Saccharomyces cerevisiae S288C: one gene and its partners. Changing the gene in region 1 together with any one later gene gives a genetic interaction. Each region holds a gene or a part of one and is shown in the gene's direction. Other genes may lie near its edges.

What was found.
Region 2: mutations in MCK1 (region 1) and INO4 together harm fitness more than expected from each alone (negative genetic interaction), as found in Saccharomyces cerevisiae (5 studies listed by BioGRID).
Region 3: mutations in MCK1 (region 1) and SNF4 together harm fitness more than expected from each alone (negative genetic interaction), as found in Saccharomyces cerevisiae (5 studies listed by BioGRID).
Region 4: mutations in MCK1 (region 1) and ARO1 together harm fitness more than expected from each alone (negative genetic interaction), as found in Saccharomyces cerevisiae (5 studies listed by BioGRID, with this or other methods).

What each region holds. Positions count from the first base shown.
Region 1 is NC_001146.8:54,160-59,246, reverse strand, and holds MCK1 (serine/threonine/tyrosine protein kinase MCK1), read left to right. Parts: upstream 1-1,673; coding exon 1,674-2,801; downstream 2,802-5,087. Other genes in the region: BXI1 (Bxi1p), read left to right, coding at 1-349; mitochondrial 37S ribosomal protein uS11m MRPS18, read right to left, coding at 439-1,092; KRI1 (Kri1p), read left to right, coding at 3,350-5,087. UniProt on the Saccharomyces cerevisiae protein: May be an autophosphorylating tyrosine kinase, a bifunctional (serine/tyrosine-specific) protein kinase, or a serine kinase that is a substrate for an associated tyrosine kinase.
Region 2 is NC_001147.6:109,878-114,590, reverse strand, and holds INO4 (Ino4p), read left to right. Parts: upstream 1-2,704; coding exon 2,705-3,160; downstream 3,161-4,713. Other genes in the region: WSC3 (Wsc3p), read left to right, coding at 1-453; YOL107W (uncharacterized protein), read right to left, coding at 1,461-2,489; ZEO1 (Zeo1p), read right to left, coding at 3,953-4,294; SHR5 (Shr5p), read right to left, coding at 4,702-4,713. UniProt on the Saccharomyces cerevisiae protein: Transcriptional activator of phospholipid synthetic genes (such as INO1, CHO1/PSS, CHO2/PEM1, OPI3/PEM2, etc.).
Region 3 is NC_001139.9:290,487-295,287, forward strand, and holds SNF4 (AMP-activated serine/threonine-protein kinase regulatory subunit SNF4), read left to right. Parts: upstream 1-1,546; coding exon 1,547-2,515; downstream 2,516-4,801. Other genes in the region: ubiquitin-protein transferase activating protein CDC20, read left to right, coding at 1-1,155; YGL114W (uncharacterized protein), read left to right, coding at 2,974-4,801. UniProt on the Saccharomyces cerevisiae protein: Adenine nucleotides-binding subunit gamma of AMP-activated protein kinase (AMPK), an energy sensor protein kinase that plays a key role in regulating cellular energy metabolism.
Region 4 is NC_001136.10:701,980-710,714, forward strand, and holds ARO1 (pentafunctional protein ARO1p), read left to right. Parts: upstream 1-2,504; coding exon 2,505-7,271; downstream 7,272-8,735. Other genes in the region: ECM18 (alpha/beta hydrolase family protein), read right to left, coding at 1-779; palmitoyltransferase SWF1, read left to right, coding at 1,255-2,265; MTC5 (Mtc5p), read left to right, coding at 7,570-8,735. UniProt on the Saccharomyces cerevisiae protein: The AROM polypeptide catalyzes 5 consecutive enzymatic reactions in prechorismate polyaromatic amino acid biosynthesis.

The sequences.
Region 1 (5,087 bases):
CGTCGTAGTCGGCGTTTCCTTGACCGCACTATCAGAGAGATTCGAGAACGTGCTGAATTCCGCAACGTCAATATACTATTGGTTAAACTGGGGTCTATGGATTATGATCGGAATGGGTCTCACGGCCTTGCTTTTCGGCTGGAATACCCACTCTTCCAAGTTTAATCTGCTTTACGGCTGGCTTGGTGCCATTTTATTTACCGCGTATCTTTTCATCGATACGCAACTGATTTTTAGGAAAGTGTATCCTGATGAAGAAGTTAGATGCGCCATGATGCTTTACCTGGACATCGTCAATTTGTTTTTGTCTATTTTAAGGATTTTGGCCAACTCTAACGACGACAATTAAAAAAAGGGAAAAATCGAATTATTTACACGAATATATATATATTTCTTCTTCTTTTACATAGTTTATAATTCATACATAGTGGGAGCTGATCATAGTCTTCTCATCTTTGGTGATCTTACACCACCAAACTTCAATTTGGTGGCATCGCTGATCTTCACAACCTTTTTCACCACACTGGCCCCTTCCTTACCAACAAGAGCGGAAATAAAAGCAGCTCTGCCCTTCCCAAAGTCGTCCATCACCACTTCGATATCTTTGTTCAGCATGTTCTTTTCCTTAATCAATTCAAACATTCTACCACTGGTTTGAAATGCAGCTTCATACTCCCCTCTTGCTGCCTTCCTAAACCCTAAACAACCTGTAGATAGCGAAATCTTCACTTTCTGGGGTAAGTTCAAATAGTACAGCATTGTATCATTATACGTAAGTCCCTTATTCTTATGAAAGTTCTTGTCCTCCACAACGCTTGAAAATGTCAAATGCGTGTTATTTTTAGTAAACTTGCCATGTAGAATGTACTTAACTACTTCCTCTTTGGGCTTGTAAACCTCACTACTACCATTTGACTTTGTCAAAACTGAGTCAGAGGACGAAGGATACGAGATATTCGTGATATCCTCCTGATTTGAAATATCCTTAAATGAAAAAGGAACTCCTCTATTCGTGCCGGTAGAATTCCATCTTCTGATAGGCCTGACAAACTGCGTCCATCGGCAGCCTTTCCAAACAGGTTGTAACAGCATCACACGTAACTATAACAGTTCACACTGTCACTTTTTCTTTTCAGAAGAACCACTGCTTTCCACCTGATTTACTCTCATTTTGTCTTCCCTCTTTCCCAATTCATCGTTATTATGCCAAACAGTCACGAAGTACGAAACAAACACTCTCCGCTGCTATAGAAAGTTCCAATCTTAGGCTGAATAATGGAATACTAGTAGCTCAGTGATTATCATCATAATTGAAGCTATCATTAAAAAGCATGCAGCCATATTATGCAGGAATTATATGATCACACGTAGCTGTAGTGGCTTTCGAAAGCAGCATTCTTGCTTCCACTCAGTTCGTATGTAATGACAGTTCAGTGACCCACAAACAACACTGAAAAAAGCGACCTTCATATGCGGAAGAGGGCAGGCGTAACCTCCAAGGGAAAACGACATAGATTTCGCAAGTGAGTGCCATTGTGTCGTGTTAGTAGTGTGGGCAGGCCCGTAACGTGTTTATTGATAGGAGTTAAGCCCAAGACTACAGAGTTCTTTGCTTCATCTTTCAATTTTCTTTTTATTTTCCGAAACCCCCACTCCATCACATTCTAGTACATATGTCTACGGAAGAGCAGAATGGTGTTCCTCTGCAAAGGGGATCTGAATTCATTGCAGACGATGTAACCTCGAATAAATCGAACAACACGAGGCGGATGCTGGTGAAAGAGTACAGGAAAATCGGTAGAGGTGCCTTTGGGACTGTTGTACAAGCATATTTAACCCAGGATAAGAAAAACTGGTTGGGCCCCTTTGCAATTAAAAAAGTCCCTGCTCATACCGAGTACAAGTCCAGGGAATTACAGATTCTGAGGATTGCCGACCATCCAAATATCGTTAAATTGCAGTATTTCTTTACTCATTTGTCCCCGCAAGATAATAAAGTTTATCAACACCTTGCCATGGAATGCTTACCAGAAACTCTACAAATCGAGATTAATCGTTATGTGACAAACAAGCTAGAAATGCCATTAAAACATATCAGGCTATACACTTATCAGATTGCCCGCGGGATGCTTTATTTACACGGTCTTGGCGTTTGTCATCGTGATATCAAACCATCCAATGTTCTTGTAGACCCGGAAACCGGTGTCTTGAAAATCTGCGATTTTGGGTCTGCCAAAAAATTGGAACATAACCAGCCTTCAATTAGTTACATCTGTTCAAGATTTTATAGAGCGCCTGAATTGATCATTGGTTGTACCCAATATACCACCCAGATCGATATATGGGGGCTTGGTTGTGTCATGGGCGAGATGCTTATCGGCAAAGCCATATTTCAAGGTCAAGAACCCCTTCTACAGCTAAGGGAAATTGCTAAATTGTTAGGTCCTCCCGATAAAAGATTCATTTTCTTTTCGAATCCGGCCTACGATGGCCCTCTATTTTCCAAACCACTGTTCTCGGGCTCTTCGCAACAGAGGTTTGAGAAGTATTTTGGCCATTCCGGTCCAGATGGTATCGATCTTTTGATGAAAATATTGGTCTACGAACCACAACAAAGACTGTCTCCAAGAAGAATCCTTGCCCATCAGTTCTTTAATGAATTAAGGAATGATGACACTTTCTTACCAAGAGGTTTCACTGAACCAATCAAGCTACCAAATTTGTTTGATTTTAATGATTTTGAGTTACAAATTCTGGGTGAATTTGCTGATAAAATTAAACCTACGAAAGTTGCTGAATAATAATTTTCTATTAATTTGTTCTCTTTCCCCTCGGAAAATTTAATGAACAAAATACTATGATTTTTTTCACCTTTGATCCGCTGTTTATATTTCACTTGGAAAAGAAAAAAAATTTTTTGGAATAAAATATATTCAAATTTCCATTTGATATTATCATACACTTCTTTTATCCAGTCACTCCTTCAATTTCTTCTTTATTTTTTATTTTATGTTCCTAATTTTTTTTTATCTCTTTCCTATTTCCTGTTCTTTTATTAATCTGAAATATTATTATTACTTTAGTGTTAGTTTATAATTTTAATTAGGCCTACGTGGCTTGTAATAAATTGCCTCGCATGTTATCATTACTTATATAAAAGTATTATTGAAATACCGTCGTTATTTTTTGATATTTATGTGAGAAAAAAGTATTACCCGGAGGAGCCGCAAGGTCATCGGTTAAAATTTTTCAAATATATCAATCTCATCTCATCTAGTTAACAGAACCATTTCTTCAGAAAGCAAAATGCTCATAGTTTTCAACAACAGTGTGATATACCCTAAATTCAATGCCAAGAAAAAAGTCTGCCGCTAAAAGAGCTAGAGAACAAGCAAAAAAAGAAGCGGCCGTACCTGCAACGGATACTGCTACCATAAAAACTTCTGAAACCTCTGCGACGACAGTTAAGCCTGCAATCGAAGCAAGCAAATCGTACGTTCCTAGTGAAGATGAGGAAGAAGACGAAGAGGAAGAAGAGGAGGAAGATGATTACGGTGAATTGATTACTGATGAAGTGGAAAACGGTATTAATCAAGTGCTAGATGCCATCAAAAACAATAAGACGGACAAACTACTAGATCCTAAAGTCAAATTCTTCGAGGATCCCGAATCTGCTGCTGCCAAACTGGCCAATCGTGAGGGGAAGCATAAACCTATTTACCTAAAAGATTATCACCGTATGAACATACTTTCTGGTGATGCCTTAAAGGAGGATGACGAAGAATACGAACATGCAACTGTTGACGGAAAGCAATCTTTCGTCTCGCAACAACGTGAAGAGAAAACTCAGCTTTTAAATGAAATCAAGAGTGCCTTTAGCGATGAAGAAAATGAAGAGTCTAGCGGAGATGAAGACGATGGGTTTTTGAAGAAAAAGGAACCTTCTACGAAGAAGGAAGGAAAAAATTTACCGGATCCAACCGTAAATGAAGAAAATTTCTTGGAAGAATTTGTGAATCAACAGGCCTGGATTCCTAAGAAGGGGGACAAGGTGATTTCTCTTGACCTCAACAATAATGAAGAGGACGATGAAGAATTTGAAGATGCTGCAGAAAAATTTGAGAATGCCTACAATTTTAGGTACGAGGACCCAAACGCAGCTGAAATTATATCTTATGCACGTAGTCAAGCTACACTAAGAAGATCCGATGACTCTTCACGCAGAAGAAAAAGAGAGGAAAAAAGAAAAATTAAAGAGCAAATAAAAGCAGAGAAGGAGACAGCTCTTCAGAAAAAGAAGACTAAAAAATTGAATAAATTGACTGACATTTTAGAGCAACTAACAAAGGAATATGGTGCTGAAATTAATGCCGACATGGTGAAAAAAATCACTGACACCCTATTGAAGAACGATTTCAAAGAAGAAGAGTGGGATAACGTGGTAGCTGAATTATTTAATGAAGAATTTTATCAACAAGAGGGAAAGCCTACCTGGAACGAGGATGACGAAATAATGGGTGACTTTTATGCAGACGCCGATGGTGATGACCAAACAGAAGAAGGTGAAGTGGAAAAAGAACAAAAAGAAGAAGACGAGGAAGAAGGTCCAAAAAGAAAGAAGAGCAAGAAAGAAGAGAAACTGCAAAAGAAGAAAGAAAAGAGAAAGGTAAATGAATTAGTGGAAAATGCTTTGGAACAAAACAAACTAGCACTAATAGAGGAGGTTGAAAAAGAAGAAGAAGAAAGAAAGAGTAGAAGCCGTACAAAAGAGGAGCAAGATTTGAAGTTTCGTTACCGTGAAGTTTCTCCTGAGAGTTTCGGTTTGACCGCAAGAGAGATTTTCGCCGCCGATGATACTGATTTAAATGAATTTATTGGTTTGAAGAAATTTGCACCTTATCGTTCCAAGGAACTAAGAGCGAAGGATAAAAGGAAAGTGATGAAGGCAAGAAGATTAAGAGAGTGGAGGAAGAAAACTTTTAAGAACGAAAATGGGTTAGCTCCAGTCGAAGCAGAGGCAGGGGAGAAGGATGAGGACACCATACTGATACCTGTAGAGAAAGCCTCTAAAAGCAAACACAAGAGGG
Region 2 (4,713 bases), on another chromosome or scaffold:
AGACGGAAATCGCACGACCAATTAGACTTGGAGGAAACGAAACATTATCAGCCCTATTCGTTCGGTGATGAGGATGCAAATCCAATAGGACCGCCTCCCTCCTCTGGTACGACAAATTGGATGAGACATTCAAGGGGTAATACAGCGGGTTCTATCGGTACAAGTAATATGTATGGTTTTTCTATGAGTAATGGTGCAAATTATAGTAGTCCTAGTTCAAACACCAGTGGAAGCATCATAAACAACTTGGCTGGCTTACAAGATGCTACGGTTCAGAAACAGAACCTTCCATCGACAGTTTTTGAAGAGGCAAATACTTTGAATAGTGCAAATGAAAGGTTCAGTGCCAATTCTTTACCCGACATGATGATGAGCGGACCATTGCAAGTGGTAAACCCTGATAATCCTGATAATCCTGAATTATCTAGTACCGTATCTCATAATCGAGCCTGAAAAACTCGCATAAACTCTCAACATTAATGGTAATCAACTGGTTCTGCTGGACGGAGCCATTCTAAATCATTAACTTTATAATATCATGTTTTATACCCTAATATTTAAACAATTTACTGCTTTTGGCACTTCAACTGTTAGAAAAAGAACAATAATATTTAGTATTTAGTTTCATTTTTAAATTTTCTGATTCACTTCATTTGCAGCTTCTAATGATGTTTGTGGTACAAAAATATAAACAATTTTAAAATATTAAAAAAAAATGCTTCCAATCGGATTTGAACCGATGATCTCCACATTACTAGTGTGGCGCCTTACCAACTTGGCCATAGAAGCTAAATCTCTGAAAGCTGCGCTCTTCAAAGGCGAACCAAGCAAGATAAATTAATATTATTATGTAAAACTATCGTTTTCCTTTTGTTGATTCCTATATCCCGGAGAAGAACTACTAATTATCAAATTATTCACCAAATGATCAAATTTAGCAGCGTAGTGAGTGCCACTATGTAGATGTTGGAATAAAAACCAACTATCGTCTATCAACTAGTAGTCATACTATCAATATATTATCATATACGGTGTTAGATAGTGACATAAGTTATTATAGAAGCTGTCACCGAAGTTAGAGGAAGCTGAAATGCAAGGATCGATAATGTAATAGGATAATGAAACATATGAAATGGAATGAGGAATAATCGTAATATTGGTACATAGAAATATAGATTCCATTATGGGGATTCCTATATCATCGAGGAGAACTTCTAGTACATTCTGTATACCTAATATTATAGCCTTTATCAACGATGGAATCCCAACAATTATTTCAAAATTCACCCATTTCTCAGTAGAATTATTAATATTGGGGAATATATGGGTTTCTATGGTTCGATAGTACTGGCGCACATTCAGCATACAAATCCTACTACCTTGGTAAAGACCGAAATGCCAACAGCCGTCATTAAATCACGATATAATAGAGCATATTTCAAGTTATATAGATCCATATATCAAGGGTTTACCATACGCTCTTCCAAAACTTGTAAAGCTAACTGTCTTCGTCTTTCTTCTACAGTCATAATTTTTTTGGCGCCTCTACTTTCTGCGATGGTGTTCCCAATATCTATATCAATATCATGAAAAGGTTTAATGACTTTAAATTTTACAACAACTACATTATAAATGAAATTGAAAATCGGCCTCAAAATCGGCTTAATTAGATCAGGAAAGAAGTAAATCAATTGAAAAGTATCAGATGCATCGCCGACCAATATTTCCTGACCACCTTGAGAATTAGTTGTTGGCAAAGAGGGACAATTCAAGGGTGCAAGTTTCTGGAAAAACCTCAAGTACGACCAACTGGCAAAAAAGGTAACCCAAATGGAGAACAATTGAGCAAAATGATGAAACCATATTATTTGGGTTACCGTCATTGTAAACATTACAAAAATGGGTAGTAATTTGAACCTAAAGTTTTTGGCCAAAAATTGAGGTGTCTTCAGATGGATTATAGTTGTTTCAGGCAATAACTGTCTATAAATGATAGGGAAACCGATTAAAATTGTGTAGTTCCCGTCTAAGGGAATATCCAGCCTTACCTTATTAGAGAAAAAAGATACTAACAAAGTCAGCATGATGATCAGAACGTTTGTAAGAGAACCTAAAACTATGATAAATTTGAACATTTCTTTGGAAGAGTTCCAATTGCGTTCAATGAAGGATCCACCAATGATCAAATTCAATAAGTTCACTACCACCTTCCAAGCTTTAGTGTCGATGAAGTTGGATAGAACTAATGAGGTGGGGTACCTCCAAATCTGCGAAGGTACCATTTGCAAAAGCGGCGAAGTAATCAAGTTGTAGTCCAAGTTAGGGTCTTCAAGAACTAGCTTGTTGTACAAGGATCTCCTTATACAGAAAAGGGTTGCAGTTAAGCATATATAAGTGACTGTAATAAATTTAGTAGCATCAGGAATCTTATTGATATTTAAAAATGAATCCGGGATATTCAATTCTAGGAACCTCGAACTATATTGCATTATAGTGAACAAATATCTTTGTTATAAATAGATTAGTCGTCTTCTTTTTCTTGGCTTGGTTTGTATGAGCTTGTTACGTATCAAACAAAATATTCACATGTTTTTCTCACCTTAAAGACAGAGGCGCGATTGCGTTTGCGAAATTCCAATGCCAACAAGATAAGCTTGACGAAGGAGTTAAGAGGGCGGCTTGAACTAAAAAGAGAAAAGCAATAATGACGAACGATATTAAGGAGATACAAACAATACAGCCGGGATTGTCCGAGATTAAGGAGATAAAGGGTGAACTGGCTAATGTGAAGAAAAGGAAACGCAGGTCTAAGAAGATTAATAAATTGACTGATGGTCAAATACGTATAAATCATGTTTCGTCTGAAAAAAAAAGGAGAGAATTGGAAAGAGCTATATTTGACGAACTGGTAGCAGTAGTACCTGACCTGCAACCCCAGGAAAGTCGGTCAGAACTAATCATATACCTGAAAAGCTTGAGTTACTTAAGTTGGTTGTATGAAAGGAATGAAAAGCTGAGAAAACAAATCATAGCTAAGCATGAGGCAAAAACCGGCAGCAGCAGCAGCAGCGATCCCGTACAAGAACAAAATGGAAACATTCGGGATTTAGTACCGAAGGAGTTAATTTGGGAGCTGGGTGATGGACAGAGTGGTCAGTGATTCAAGGAGTAGGGTAAAGTAAGTAATATAAGCGAAGAAATTCTTCCCATACCTTTTCTTCACTTTGCAGAGGGGAGTGGTGCATATCCCACAAAGAAAAGTAGCAACAACAATGATATATATACGTTACTACTAATGCTTTCCTTCATCGAAAGTGTGCCGAAGTATTTATTTAATCTTTTAGTGTTCAACTTACTATAATGTGATACTTTTTCAATATTGTTTGCCGTTGAAGCGATAGTGCTTTATGTCATTTTATCTTTCTTTTACATTGTTTTATTTTAGAGCTAAAATTGAACATCAGTTTGCAAGAAGTCAGTTGGTTGGCCTTTGCTATTAAGAGACCATAATGTTATAGTGATTGAGATCAGTTTCACCAACTAATAACAATTAACCCGGGCGGTTAGTGTAGTGGTTATCATCCCACCCTTCCAAGGTGGGGACACGGGTTCGATTCTCGTACCGCTCATATTTTTACTTTCTTATCAAACTTTTTTTCCTCCGGGACGTGAAATAACCGCCGAGGTTATTCTCGGAGCATTCTTTTTTGTGGCTTTTGATCATCCATCATCATCATCATCATCATTATTACTACTACTACTACTACTACTATTATTATTATTATTATTATTATTATTAGTATTATTATTATTATATTGATTAGTTATTAGATAGATACAATTAAGAAAAATTTATGTAAAAGGTCAGAATAAACAGCATTTTTCTCCTCTTTTTTTATTTTTAAAAAAAGAAAAAGAAACTTCTAGTAAAGTGCAGCACATTCAAGTGTGATTAGTTGAAAATGGAAGCAATTTTACGGTTCAATTTCTTCAAGAAACCGCCTTCCTTCTTGGTTTCCTTCTTCTCACTGACGGCGGCGGAAGCTTGCTTCTTAGTTTCTTCAACTTTGTTGGCAGCTTCGGTCTTCTTTTGTTCGACACCATCAGCAATGTTTTGTTCTTCCTTCTTCACCTGTTCAGCTTCTGGAGTAGCTTCATTTTTTAGGTTGTCGATAGAAGCTTCAGCTTGTTCCTTTACTTCTTGGCCCTTGTTTTGCAAAGATTCTTTGGTTTCTTCCAACTTTTGTTGGACATCTTGGGCGGCAGTTTCAGCTTTGTTTTGAATTTCAGACATTATTAATTGATATAAACGTAGTTTTGTATGTTTCTTTGATTTGAACTTTTAAGTATACAGAGAAAAAAACCGATCAAAGAAAACTAAAGTATAATGAGGTTAAAAACGAAAGTAATAAAGTAGAAAGGCTATCAAGCAAACTGAGATGATCTTCGACGTAAAAACTCGCTCTATATATATACGCCATATAAGCCCATCGGCGATGGGGGACAACACGAAGAAACAAGAGAAGAGGAGAACCGCACAGAAAGCAGCAGAAACAGAGCAAACCAGCATTAACTAAAGATGATAAAAATAAAATTAGGTAAGAAACCTTAATTGGATATACAAAAATACACTGGAGGCACAAATCGCCATCGATATAAAACACGATAAAGCCCTGGTGCACCCATAAACCACACGTTTAACTATTTGGGTCG
Region 3 (4,801 bases), on another chromosome or scaffold:
CATTATAGTTATCAGCAGGAACAAAAAATTCCTGATTTAATTAAATTAAGGAAAATCAATACCAATCCGGAAAGAATTCTTGATGCACCTGGTTTCCAAGACGACTTTTATTTAAACTTGTTAAGTTGGTCCAAAAAAAATGTCTTAGCTATAGCACTAGACACTGCATTATATCTGTGGAATGCCACCACTGGGGATGTTTCCCTGTTAACGGATTTCGAAAACACCACAATATGCAGCGTTACGTGGTCTGATGATGATTGTCATATCTCTATCGGTAAAGAGGATGGGAACACCGAAATTTGGGACGTTGAGACCATGTCATTAATTAGAACTATGAGATCAGGCTTAGGTGTCCGTATCGGTTCATTGTCTTGGTTAGATACTTTGATAGCTACAGGCAGTCGTAGTGGAGAAATTCAAATCAATGATGTCAGGATCAAACAGCATATTGTATCTACATGGGCAGAGCACACAGGCGAAGTCTGCGGTTTGAGCTATAAAAGTGACGGATTGCAACTTGCATCTGGTGGTAATGATAACACTGTAATGATTTGGGATACCAGAACGTCCTTGCCTCAATTTTCCAAGAAGACGCATACTGCTGCTGTAAAAGCACTAAGCTGGTGTCCATATTCGCCAAATATTCTAGCCTCTGGAGGCGGACAAACAGATAAACACATCCATTTTTGGAACAGTATCACAGGTGCACGAGTTGGCTCAATCAATACCGGATCCCAGGTGAGCTCTTTACATTGGGGCCAAAGTCATACGTCAACCAATGGTGGTATGATGAATAAAGAGATTGTTGCCACAGGAGGTAATCCAGAGAATGCAATCTCTGTTTATAATTATGAAACAAAATTCAAAGTTGCAGAAGTAGTTCATGCTCATGAAGCAAGAATATGCTGTTCTCAATTGTCCCCTGACGGAACCACATTGGCCACAGTGGGAGGAGATGAAAACTTAAAATTTTATAAGATATTTGATCCAAGATGTACAGGAAGATCGAGAGAAGACGGATTGATGGATGGTATGCTAGGACTTATTGGCAAGGAAGGTTGTCGAACAAATGATAAGGAGAATCGTTCCAAAAATTCGAGTGAGATTCATACAAGGAGGCCCTCTAGTACCAGCCAATATTTGATCAGGTGATAAAATAAAAAAAATAAAAGTTCATGTCAAGGCATATAATGAAATTTCCATACACGCATACATAATGTATAAACATAAATGTATTCAAGAAGCTTAAGAAATAAAAGTAATGAACCTTGAGAATACATCAAGATATAACTCATCACATGTTAAAGAACCCACACACCACACGCGCGAGAACTGGGAGGGAGAGAAATTTAGCAAATAACAAAATTTAGGCCTTGGAAGAAACCATAGCAATGCAATAATCGTTATTAACATAATATCTACATTGAGAACTTCTTGGGCTAGTGGTTTTGCTGCAAACTGGAAAATTGTATCAATCTTTTAACGTTAGCTAAACATCTTCTGCTGTGTTAGCATTAGGAGGAAGCGAAAAGGAAAATACATAATGAAACCGACACAGGATTCACAAGAAAAGGTTTCTATTGAACAGCAGTTAGCTGTAGAATCGATAAGGAAGTTTTTGAACTCGAAAACATCTTATGACGTGTTGCCTGTTTCTTACCGTTTAATTGTCTTGGACACCTCGTTGTTAGTGAAGAAATCACTGAATGTTCTTTTGCAAAATAGCATTGTCTCTGCGCCATTATGGGACTCCAAGACTTCCAGGTTCGCTGGACTTCTAACTACTACAGATTTTATTAATGTCATCCAGTATTACTTCTCCAATCCAGATAAGTTCGAATTAGTAGACAAATTACAGTTAGATGGATTAAAAGATATAGAGCGTGCTCTCGGTGTTGATCAACTAGATACAGCTTCAATTCATCCTTCTAGACCCTTATTTGAGGCGTGTCTTAAGATGTTAGAATCAAGAAGTGGTAGAATACCACTGATCGATCAAGATGAAGAGACACATAGAGAAATTGTCGTTAGTGTTCTTACGCAATATAGAATTCTGAAGTTCGTTGCTTTAAATTGCAGGGAAACACATTTTCTAAAGATTCCAATTGGGGACTTGAACATTATTACGCAAGATAACATGAAAAGCTGTCAAATGACCACTCCGGTCATAGACGTCATTCAGATGCTTACCCAAGGTCGGGTTTCTTCCGTCCCTATTATTGACGAAAACGGCTACTTAATCAACGTATATGAAGCATACGATGTCCTAGGCTTGATAAAAGGAGGCATCTACAACGACCTGTCATTGAGCGTCGGAGAAGCCCTTATGAGGAGAAGTGATGATTTTGAGGGTGTTTATACATGCACTAAGAATGATAAATTATCTACTATTATGGATAACATCAGAAAAGCAAGGGTGCATAGATTCTTTGTAGTTGATGACGTCGGACGGTTGGTTGGTGTCTTGACGTTAAGCGATATTCTCAAATATATCCTTCTAGGTAGCAACTGAAACGAGCCGATGAGATTTTTGTGTACATACTATAAATAAATGCAACTAATAAAGTCATGATTAATCAGTCATGCATACTTCATCTGACCAATATATTTTCATCTTGCTTATTTTGGGTATAATTCGGCGGAAATTCGGTTATAAAGCGAAGTGAAAAATCGATTAGTAATGATACTGATGCGATCTCTGGGAGGGGGGAATGCTGCATATAAGGGTGAAGGAAGATAATGCAAAGCCTTTTGTAGTATTGTCTGTTGATACCAAAATAAATTAGTTCATCAAAAAGGTACAGGCAGCTAAAGAAAAGCTGTAAATTTAACGCCGTAGAAGGTATTTTTCGTGAGATCTATCTCAAGGCATCATTTTTTTTATTTTCGCACCAAGATAGGAAGAAAAAGAGTCACAGTATAGAGGACTAACCGTTAAAGATTCTAAATCGGTACTGTAAATACTTTGAAATGCCTCAATCTACTCCAAGTCAAGAAGTACAGCGTGTACCATGGGATAATAAACCTGCTTTGAAGCAGATAACACTCCGAGCAACCATAGCAGGTATCGCTATAGGGTCTCTGGTGCTAACATCAAATTTTCAATTTGGCCTGCAAACCGGTTGGGTTTCCATGATGTCCCTGCCATCGGCATTGTTAGCTTGTGCTTTCTTTAAAAATATCTGGCCATTAATATTTCCGAACGACAGGCCTTTCAGTGACGTTGAAAATGTATACGTACAAAGTATGGCAGTAGCTGTCGGAACAGGCCCATTAGCCTTTGGGTTTGTCGGCGTCATACCTGCCATCGAGAAGTTCCTTACTAACGACGAAAGTGGTGGATTAAGGGAACAAGGACAGTCCTTCACTTTTAGAGAATTGTTAATATGGTCCACAGCCCTAGCATTCTTCGGTATTTTTTTTGCAGTTCCTCTAAGAAAGCAAGTAATTGTTAGAGAGAAACTTCCCTTCCCCAGTGGTAGCGCCACGGCCACTTTAATTTCAGTGCTAAATGGAACTGAGATTTTACAAGAGGTTTCTAAGTCAGAGTTATTGGAAATGAGGCAGAGGAGATTGAATGAATGCCCTGAAGTGCTACAACCCAACAGAGATCCAGAGGAGGCGGATTATTTAATGAACTCTTCTCATAGCGAACTTGGTGATTATACGGCAACTAGCCAAGATGGAAGTTCTATCCTTTCTACTGGCTCTGAGAACTACAGAGCGAATATTATTATTTTATTGAAAACTTTTGTTGTTTCTTCGCTTTACACCATGGTGTCATATTTTGTACCGGTAATACGGTCTATTCCAGTCTTCGGAAAATACCTCTCGAACAATTATCTCTGGAATTTTCAGCCGTCGCCTGCGTATATAGGCCAAGGGATAATAATGGGTCTTCCAACAGTATCGTATATGCTTATCGGGTGCTTCTTAGGCTGGGGTGTGTTAGCACCATTGGCGAGATACAAAAGATGGGTACCACCAGATGCTGATGTCCACGACTGGGAGGAGGGAGTGCAAGGATGGATTCTTTGGTCGTCGCTTTCAATAATGGTTGCTGACAGTGTAGTCGCTTTTATTGTTGTGACAGTGAAGTCCATTGTGAAATTTATTCTTATAGATGACAAAGCTGCTTTACTGAACAACATAATCGATGATACATTTCAATCTATGTTACTGGAGGAGGAACGCGCCATTAATAGCAGCAGAAGAAATACATATGTTGATGGAAGGCAGGACACCGTAAGATTAGTGAGTAGAGATAACGAAATAGAAGTAGATTCGAAGCATTTGGTTCGCTATACCACCGTTATCAGTGGATGTCTAGTCTCCTCGATAATATGCATTGTTTCCATAATATATTTGTTTGGGATACAAGTAATTCCCCTATATGCTATTATCACTGCTTTGATACTTGCGTTGTTTCTATCTATTCTCGGTATTCGAGCACTTGGAGAGACCGATCTGAATCCTGTGAGCGGCATTGGTAAGATCTCTCAATTGATTTTTGCCTTTATCATACCAAGGGATAGACCTGGATCAGTGTTAATGAACGTGGTATCGGGAGGTATTGCAGAAGCCTCTGCCCAACAGGCGGGCGATTTAATGCAGGATTTGAAAACGGGGCACCTCCTCGGCGCCTCCCCAAGAGCTCAGTTCTGTGCCCAATTGATAGGGGCCTGTTGGTCAATTATTTTGTCTAGCTTCATGTATTTGTGCTACAATAAAGTTTATTCAATTCCGAGTGAGCAATTCAGGATACCGACAGCAGTAGTGTGGATAGATTGTGCAAGAC
Region 4 (8,735 bases), on another chromosome or scaffold:
GATACCAAGCAAAGTTTGTTTACCGAGTTTGGATATTTAACAGCATATTTAAAAGATAAATATCCGCCAAAAGAATGCCCCACAACATTCATTTTGCCCAATTTGTTATCAATGCGCCATTGCTCGATTCTGTCGAGATAGAAATCTTCGTACATTTGAATCACAAATTTATTGTGATTTGCATTTATTGTATATGGAACCTTAAATTTATTTTCTCCAATAAATTTGATATCTAACGGCAGAGGTGTTGTTGTATTGATCTCTAAAGACGGTACTGAAGACAATCCGCTCGCTGGCATGTCAATTGAGTATAAATTTCGGATGTGCTTGGACAGACCTGGATAATTTCTGAAAAAAGACATTGAAGATGCGGCATAGCCATGTATCAGCAATGTTGGTGTTCGAACAGTACTTGTGTTTTCATTTTGGAAATGCCATTGATTTATTTCGTTGAATAACTTATCATTCTTTTTAATACCTTCAACGTGTACCTCTTCCATAATACGTCTCTGTAATTCCTCCAGCCGCATATAAGTTTTGTGTGGGTTATTCAAATGGCTTGACCATAGCTTGAATCCAGATTTTTTGACAGCATTTTCCTCCTTGGGTCTAAGAATCCTTTCCAAAATTTTTCTCTGGAGACTCTTTTCACGACGTTTAACTTCCAGTAGGCTTCTATTACTGTGGAACGCTCTCTTCCACATGTAACATTTATATACATTCATTATCTGCCTCCTTAAACTTTCAGGGTCCATCAAGTACCTCTTTATTAAAAGCATTTTTCATTCGCTCATCCTTAAACTGGAAAGGCATAAGGAAACTGTCAGAATATATAAATAGAGGTGTAAAACATGTGAAGCTCTGTGGAGTTCTAAGCTGGAATCGAAACAGTTGTCTCAATTTTAGTAATGTCCAAGGGCTTTCCAGGAGGTCAGTATATTCAAAGCCAAAATAATTAATGTTTTGGTCTGAATTTTTATTTTTCAAAAATGAGGTGAAAACCTCCAACGAAACTTTTTAATTAAAACCATCCGATACAGAATTTTAAATCATCTAAAGCATTTATTCGGCATTTTATCCTTGAATAACGTACTATGCAACTCATATAAATACTACAATATACTTTCTCTTTAGGAAATTCGTAGCTATCAACAAAGGTAGTGTCATTGTATATATACTTCCGCCTTCCTAAAAAAAACTTCATTATGCCTCCAAAGAAGATATCTTTGTCTCCTAACATGAAAAGAACAAACAATGTCATGGAATCTACTATTTGTGCTGCTAATAGGATTCGTAGTTTTGATATTACTTTCGCCCGTCTTCAAGTCAACATGGCCATTTTCGACTTTCTATCGTAATGTGTTTCAGCCCTTCCTAGTGGATGACCAAAAATATCGTTGGAAGTTGCATTTAGTACCTCTTTTCTACACCTCTATTTACCTGTACCTAGTATATACATACCACATGAGAGTGGAGTCTACGATTAAGAATGAGCTATTCCTTTTAGAACGAATACTGATCGTGCCTATAATTATACTACCGCCGGTAGCATTAGGAATTCTAGCCATGGTAAGCAGAGCTGAGGATTCAAAGGATCATAAATCAGGCTCGACAGAGGAATATCCATATGATTACCTATTGTATTATCCTGCCATAAAGTGTTCGACATGCCGGATCGTCAAGCCTGCTAGATCCAAACATTGTAGCATTTGCAACCGATGCGTTCTCGTCGCCGACCATCATTGCATCTGGATAAATAACTGCATCGGAAAGGGAAACTACCTTCAATTCTACCTTTTCCTAATTTCCAACATATTCTCGATGTGCTACGCCTTTCTAAGGCTGTGGTACATTTCTTTAAATAGCACAAGTACGCTCCCTAGAGCTGTTCTGACTCTTACCATATTATGTGGATGCTTCACTATCATCTGCGCTATTTTCACGTATCTTCAATTGGCCATTGTAAAGGAGGGAATGACTACAAATGAGCAAGATAAATGGTATACCATTCAAGAGTATATGAGAGAAGGAAAACTGGTGAGATCATTGGATGATGATTGCCCATCTTGGTTTTTCAAATGCACAGAACAAAAAGATGACGCTGCTGAACCACTCCAAGATCAACATGTTACGTTTTATAGCACGAATGCCTACGACCATAAGCACTACAACCTTACACACTACATCACGATTAAAGACGCGTCCGAAATTCCCAATATATATGACAAAGGTACCTTCCTGGCCAATCTCACAGATTTAATATAGTAAATTGTCATGCATATGACTCATCCCGAACATGAAATTTTTTTTCACTCGGTTTTTTCTCACCGCCATAGATTCTAACCGCAAATGTCGAACAAATTCATTATACAAGCGGTTTATTAATATAGAAGGTAGGACGCCGACTCGTAACCATTAGTAACAGATCACAGCTATACTCGGTCGTTCAAGTTTATATAATCTCCTAGTTGAGAAATCCCTACGTAAGATAATTGTATATTACGATGGTGCAGTTAGCCAAAGTCCCAATTCTAGGAAATGATATTATCCACGTTGGGTATAACATTCATGACCATTTGGTTGAAACCATAATTAAACATTGTCCTTCTTCGACATACGTTATTTGCAATGATACGAACTTGAGTAAAGTTCCATACTACCAGCAATTAGTCCTGGAATTCAAGGCTTCTTTGCCAGAAGGCTCTCGTTTACTTACTTATGTTGTTAAACCAGGTGAGACAAGTAAAAGTAGAGAAACCAAAGCGCAGCTAGAAGATTATCTTTTAGTGGAAGGATGTACTCGTGATACGGTTATGGTAGCGATCGGTGGTGGTGTTATTGGTGACATGATTGGGTTCGTTGCATCTACATTTATGAGAGGTGTTCGTGTTGTCCAAGTACCAACATCCTTATTGGCAATGGTCGATTCCTCCATTGGTGGTAAAACTGCTATTGACACTCCTCTAGGTAAAAACTTTATTGGTGCATTTTGGCAACCAAAATTTGTCCTTGTAGATATTAAATGGCTAGAAACGTTAGCCAAGAGAGAGTTTATCAATGGGATGGCAGAAGTTATCAAGACTGCTTGTATTTGGAACGCTGACGAATTTACTAGATTAGAATCAAACGCTTCGTTGTTCTTAAATGTTGTTAATGGGGCAAAAAATGTCAAGGTTACCAATCAATTGACAAACGAGATTGACGAGATATCGAATACAGATATTGAAGCTATGTTGGATCATACATATAAGTTAGTTCTTGAGAGTATTAAGGTCAAAGCGGAAGTTGTCTCTTCGGATGAACGTGAATCCAGTCTAAGAAACCTTTTGAACTTCGGACATTCTATTGGTCATGCTTATGAAGCTATACTAACCCCACAAGCATTACATGGTGAATGTGTGTCCATTGGTATGGTTAAAGAGGCGGAATTATCCCGTTATTTCGGTATTCTCTCCCCTACCCAAGTTGCACGTCTATCCAAGATTTTGGTTGCCTACGGGTTGCCTGTTTCGCCTGATGAGAAATGGTTTAAAGAGCTAACCTTACATAAGAAAACACCATTGGATATCTTATTGAAGAAAATGAGTATTGACAAGAAAAACGAGGGTTCCAAAAAGAAGGTGGTCATTTTAGAAAGTATTGGTAAGTGCTATGGTGACTCCGCTCAATTTGTTAGCGATGAAGACCTGAGATTTATTCTAACAGATGAAACCCTCGTTTACCCCTTCAAGGACATCCCTGCTGATCAACAGAAAGTTGTTATCCCCCCTGGTTCTAAGTCCATCTCCAATCGTGCTTTAATTCTTGCTGCCCTCGGTGAAGGTCAATGTAAAATCAAGAACTTATTACATTCTGATGATACTAAACATATGTTAACCGCTGTTCATGAATTGAAAGGTGCTACGATATCATGGGAAGATAATGGTGAGACGGTAGTGGTGGAAGGACATGGTGGTTCCACATTGTCAGCTTGTGCTGACCCCTTATATCTAGGTAATGCAGGTACTGCATCTAGATTTTTGACTTCCTTGGCTGCCTTGGTCAATTCTACTTCAAGCCAAAAGTATATCGTTTTAACTGGTAACGCAAGAATGCAACAAAGACCAATTGCTCCTTTGGTCGATTCTTTGCGTGCTAATGGTACTAAAATTGAGTACTTGAATAATGAAGGTTCCCTGCCAATCAAAGTTTATACTGATTCGGTATTCAAAGGTGGTAGAATTGAATTAGCTGCTACAGTTTCTTCTCAGTACGTATCCTCTATCTTGATGTGTGCCCCATACGCTGAAGAACCTGTAACTTTGGCTCTTGTTGGTGGTAAGCCAATCTCTAAATTGTACGTCGATATGACAATAAAAATGATGGAAAAATTCGGTATCAATGTTGAAACTTCTACTACAGAACCTTACACTTATTATATTCCAAAGGGACATTATATTAACCCATCAGAATACGTCATTGAAAGTGATGCCTCAAGTGCTACATACCCATTGGCCTTCGCCGCAATGACTGGTACTACCGTAACGGTTCCAAACATTGGTTTTGAGTCGTTACAAGGTGATGCCAGATTTGCAAGAGATGTCTTGAAACCTATGGGTTGTAAAATAACTCAAACGGCAACTTCAACTACTGTTTCGGGTCCTCCTGTAGGTACTTTAAAGCCATTAAAACATGTTGATATGGAGCCAATGACTGATGCGTTCTTAACTGCATGTGTTGTTGCCGCTATTTCGCACGACAGTGATCCAAATTCTGCAAATACAACCACCATTGAAGGTATTGCAAACCAGCGTGTCAAAGAGTGTAACAGAATTTTGGCCATGGCTACAGAGCTCGCCAAATTTGGCGTCAAAACTACAGAATTACCAGATGGTATTCAAGTCCATGGTTTAAACTCGATAAAAGATTTGAAGGTTCCTTCCGACTCTTCTGGACCTGTCGGTGTATGCACATATGATGATCATCGTGTGGCCATGAGTTTCTCGCTTCTTGCAGGAATGGTAAATTCTCAAAATGAACGTGACGAAGTTGCTAATCCTGTAAGAATACTTGAAAGACATTGTACTGGTAAAACCTGGCCTGGCTGGTGGGATGTGTTACATTCCGAACTAGGTGCCAAATTAGATGGTGCAGAACCTTTAGAGTGCACATCCAAAAAGAACTCAAAGAAAAGCGTTGTCATTATTGGCATGAGAGCAGCTGGCAAAACTACTATAAGTAAATGGTGCGCATCCGCTCTGGGTTACAAATTAGTTGACCTAGACGAGCTGTTTGAGCAACAGCATAACAATCAAAGTGTTAAACAATTTGTTGTGGAGAACGGTTGGGAGAAGTTCCGTGAGGAAGAAACAAGAATTTTCAAGGAAGTTATTCAAAATTACGGCGATGATGGATATGTTTTCTCAACAGGTGGCGGTATTGTTGAAAGCGCTGAGTCTAGAAAAGCCTTAAAAGATTTTGCCTCATCAGGTGGATACGTTTTACACTTACATAGGGATATTGAGGAGACAATTGTCTTTTTACAAAGTGATCCTTCAAGACCTGCCTATGTGGAAGAAATTCGTGAAGTTTGGAACAGAAGGGAGGGGTGGTATAAAGAATGCTCAAATTTCTCTTTCTTTGCTCCTCATTGCTCCGCAGAAGCTGAGTTCCAAGCTCTAAGAAGATCGTTTAGTAAGTACATTGCAACCATTACAGGTGTCAGAGAAATAGAAATTCCAAGCGGAAGATCTGCCTTTGTGTGTTTAACCTTTGATGACTTAACTGAACAAACTGAGAATTTGACTCCAATCTGTTATGGTTGTGAGGCTGTAGAGGTCAGAGTAGACCATTTGGCTAATTACTCTGCTGATTTCGTGAGTAAACAGTTATCTATATTGCGTAAAGCCACTGACAGTATTCCTATCATTTTTACTGTGCGAACCATGAAGCAAGGTGGCAACTTTCCTGATGAAGAGTTCAAAACCTTGAGAGAGCTATACGATATTGCCTTGAAGAATGGTGTTGAATTCCTTGACTTAGAACTAACTTTACCTACTGATATCCAATATGAGGTTATTAACAAAAGGGGCAACACCAAGATCATTGGTTCCCATCATGACTTCCAAGGATTATACTCCTGGGACGACGCTGAATGGGAAAACAGATTCAATCAAGCGTTAACTCTTGATGTGGATGTTGTAAAATTTGTGGGTACGGCTGTTAATTTCGAAGATAATTTGAGACTGGAACACTTTAGGGATACACACAAGAATAAGCCTTTAATTGCAGTTAATATGACTTCTAAAGGTAGCATTTCTCGTGTTTTGAATAATGTTTTAACACCTGTGACATCAGATTTATTGCCTAACTCCGCTGCCCCTGGCCAATTGACAGTAGCACAAATTAACAAGATGTATACATCTATGGGAGGTATCGAGCCTAAGGAACTGTTTGTTGTTGGAAAGCCAATTGGCCACTCTAGATCGCCAATTTTACATAACACTGGCTATGAAATTTTAGGTTTACCTCACAAGTTCGATAAATTTGAAACTGAATCCGCACAATTGGTGAAAGAAAAACTTTTGGACGGAAACAAGAACTTTGGCGGTGCTGCAGTCACAATTCCTCTGAAATTAGATATAATGCAGTACATGGATGAATTGACTGATGCTGCTAAAGTTATTGGTGCTGTAAACACAGTTATACCATTGGGTAACAAGAAGTTTAAGGGTGATAATACCGACTGGTTAGGTATCCGTAATGCCTTAATTAACAATGGCGTTCCCGAATATGTTGGTCATACCGCTGGTTTGGTTATCGGTGCAGGTGGCACTTCTAGAGCCGCCCTTTACGCCTTGCACAGTTTAGGTTGCAAAAAGATCTTCATAATCAACAGGACAACTTCGAAATTGAAGCCATTAATAGAGTCACTTCCATCTGAATTCAACATTATTGGAATAGAGTCCACTAAATCTATAGAAGAGATTAAGGAACACGTTGGCGTTGCTGTCAGCTGTGTACCAGCCGACAAACCATTAGATGACGAACTTTTAAGTAAGCTGGAGAGATTCCTTGTGAAAGGTGCCCATGCTGCTTTTGTACCAACCTTATTGGAAGCCGCATACAAACCAAGCGTTACTCCCGTTATGACAATTTCACAAGACAAATATCAATGGCACGTTGTCCCTGGATCACAAATGTTAGTACACCAAGGTGTAGCTCAGTTTGAAAAGTGGACAGGATTCAAGGGCCCTTTCAAGGCCATTTTTGATGCCGTTACGAAAGAGTAGACAATAATATATCTATCCTTTTTTATATTTTACAATGCTTCTATGATATCTTTACTAAGTATGAGTTGCCAAATAGTCAGTGTGACTGCTTACATACGTTGAATTTCTGTATATTTTTACTAAGTTGCAACAGTTAGATAATTACAAGTTACCCTTACATTCTGTGGGATGTAGTCGAAGAACATCTCAGAGTAGGTCATCAAAAGATGCAAATCAGCTGAGCACCCCACTTTCAAAAACATTGTAAGATATTTGAGGGAAATCGCCTCTGGCCCGTTTATTCACTGAAGAATTAATTATGTGCAGTAGTATAAATGAAGGTCCGTATAATTCGCCCACTTTTGGAAAATCATTATCGTTGAAAGTAGATGGTGGGTTCAATGCCGTATCTATCAATCCCTCTGGTAGGGATATTGTTTTGGCCAGTCGGCAAGGTCTTTATATTATCGACCTGGATGATCCGTTTACACCTCCAAGGTGGTTGCATCATATTACGCCCTGGCAAGTTGCTGATGTACAATGGTCGCCACATCCCGCAAAACCATATTGGATAGTCTCGACATCGAATCAAAAGGCAATCATATGGAACTTAGCAAAATCTTCATCAAATGCCATTGAGTTTGTACTTCATGGGCACTCAAGAGCAATTACAGATATAAACTTCAATCCGCAACATCCGGATGTTTTAGCTACCTGTTCAGTCGATACGTATGTACATGCTTGGGATATGAGAAGTCCACATAGACCATTTTATTCGACAAGTTCATGGAGATCTGCTGCTTCTCAAGTGAAGTGGAATTACAAGGATCCTAACGTCTTGGCATCTTCACATGGAAATGATATATTTGTGTGGGATTTGAGAAAAGGCTCCACTCCCCTCTGTTCTTTGAAAGGCCATGTAAGCTCCGTAAATAGCATAGATTTTAACCGGTTCAAATATTCTGAAATTATGTCGAGTTCGAACGATGGGACGGTGAAGTTTTGGGATTATTCAAAAAGTACGACAGAATCAAAGAGAACTGTAACAACAAATTTTCCAATCTGGAGAGGACGTTACCTTCCTTTTGGAGAAGGTTATTGTATTATGCCAATGGTTGGAGGCAATAACGCAGTTTATCTGATTAATCTATGCGACGATGATGACAGTGAACAAAATAAGAAGACGAAACTCCAGCCAATATATGCATTTAAAGGGCATAGTGACCGAGTAATTGACTTTCTTTGGAGATCAAGACATACGTGCGATGGGGATTACGACGATCGTGAATTTCAATTGGTTACTTGGTCCAAAGACTGCGATTTAAAACTATGGCCAATTTCTGATAGTATTTATGGGAAAGTTAACTTTGACAGAGGCAAGAGACTTGAGGAGAAACTACCAGATTATGATTATTGCTCATACAATAAGGAACCTGAAAATAGGGAAAATGTTCAAAAGAATGAGTTTAGGCGTTTACGAGAAAA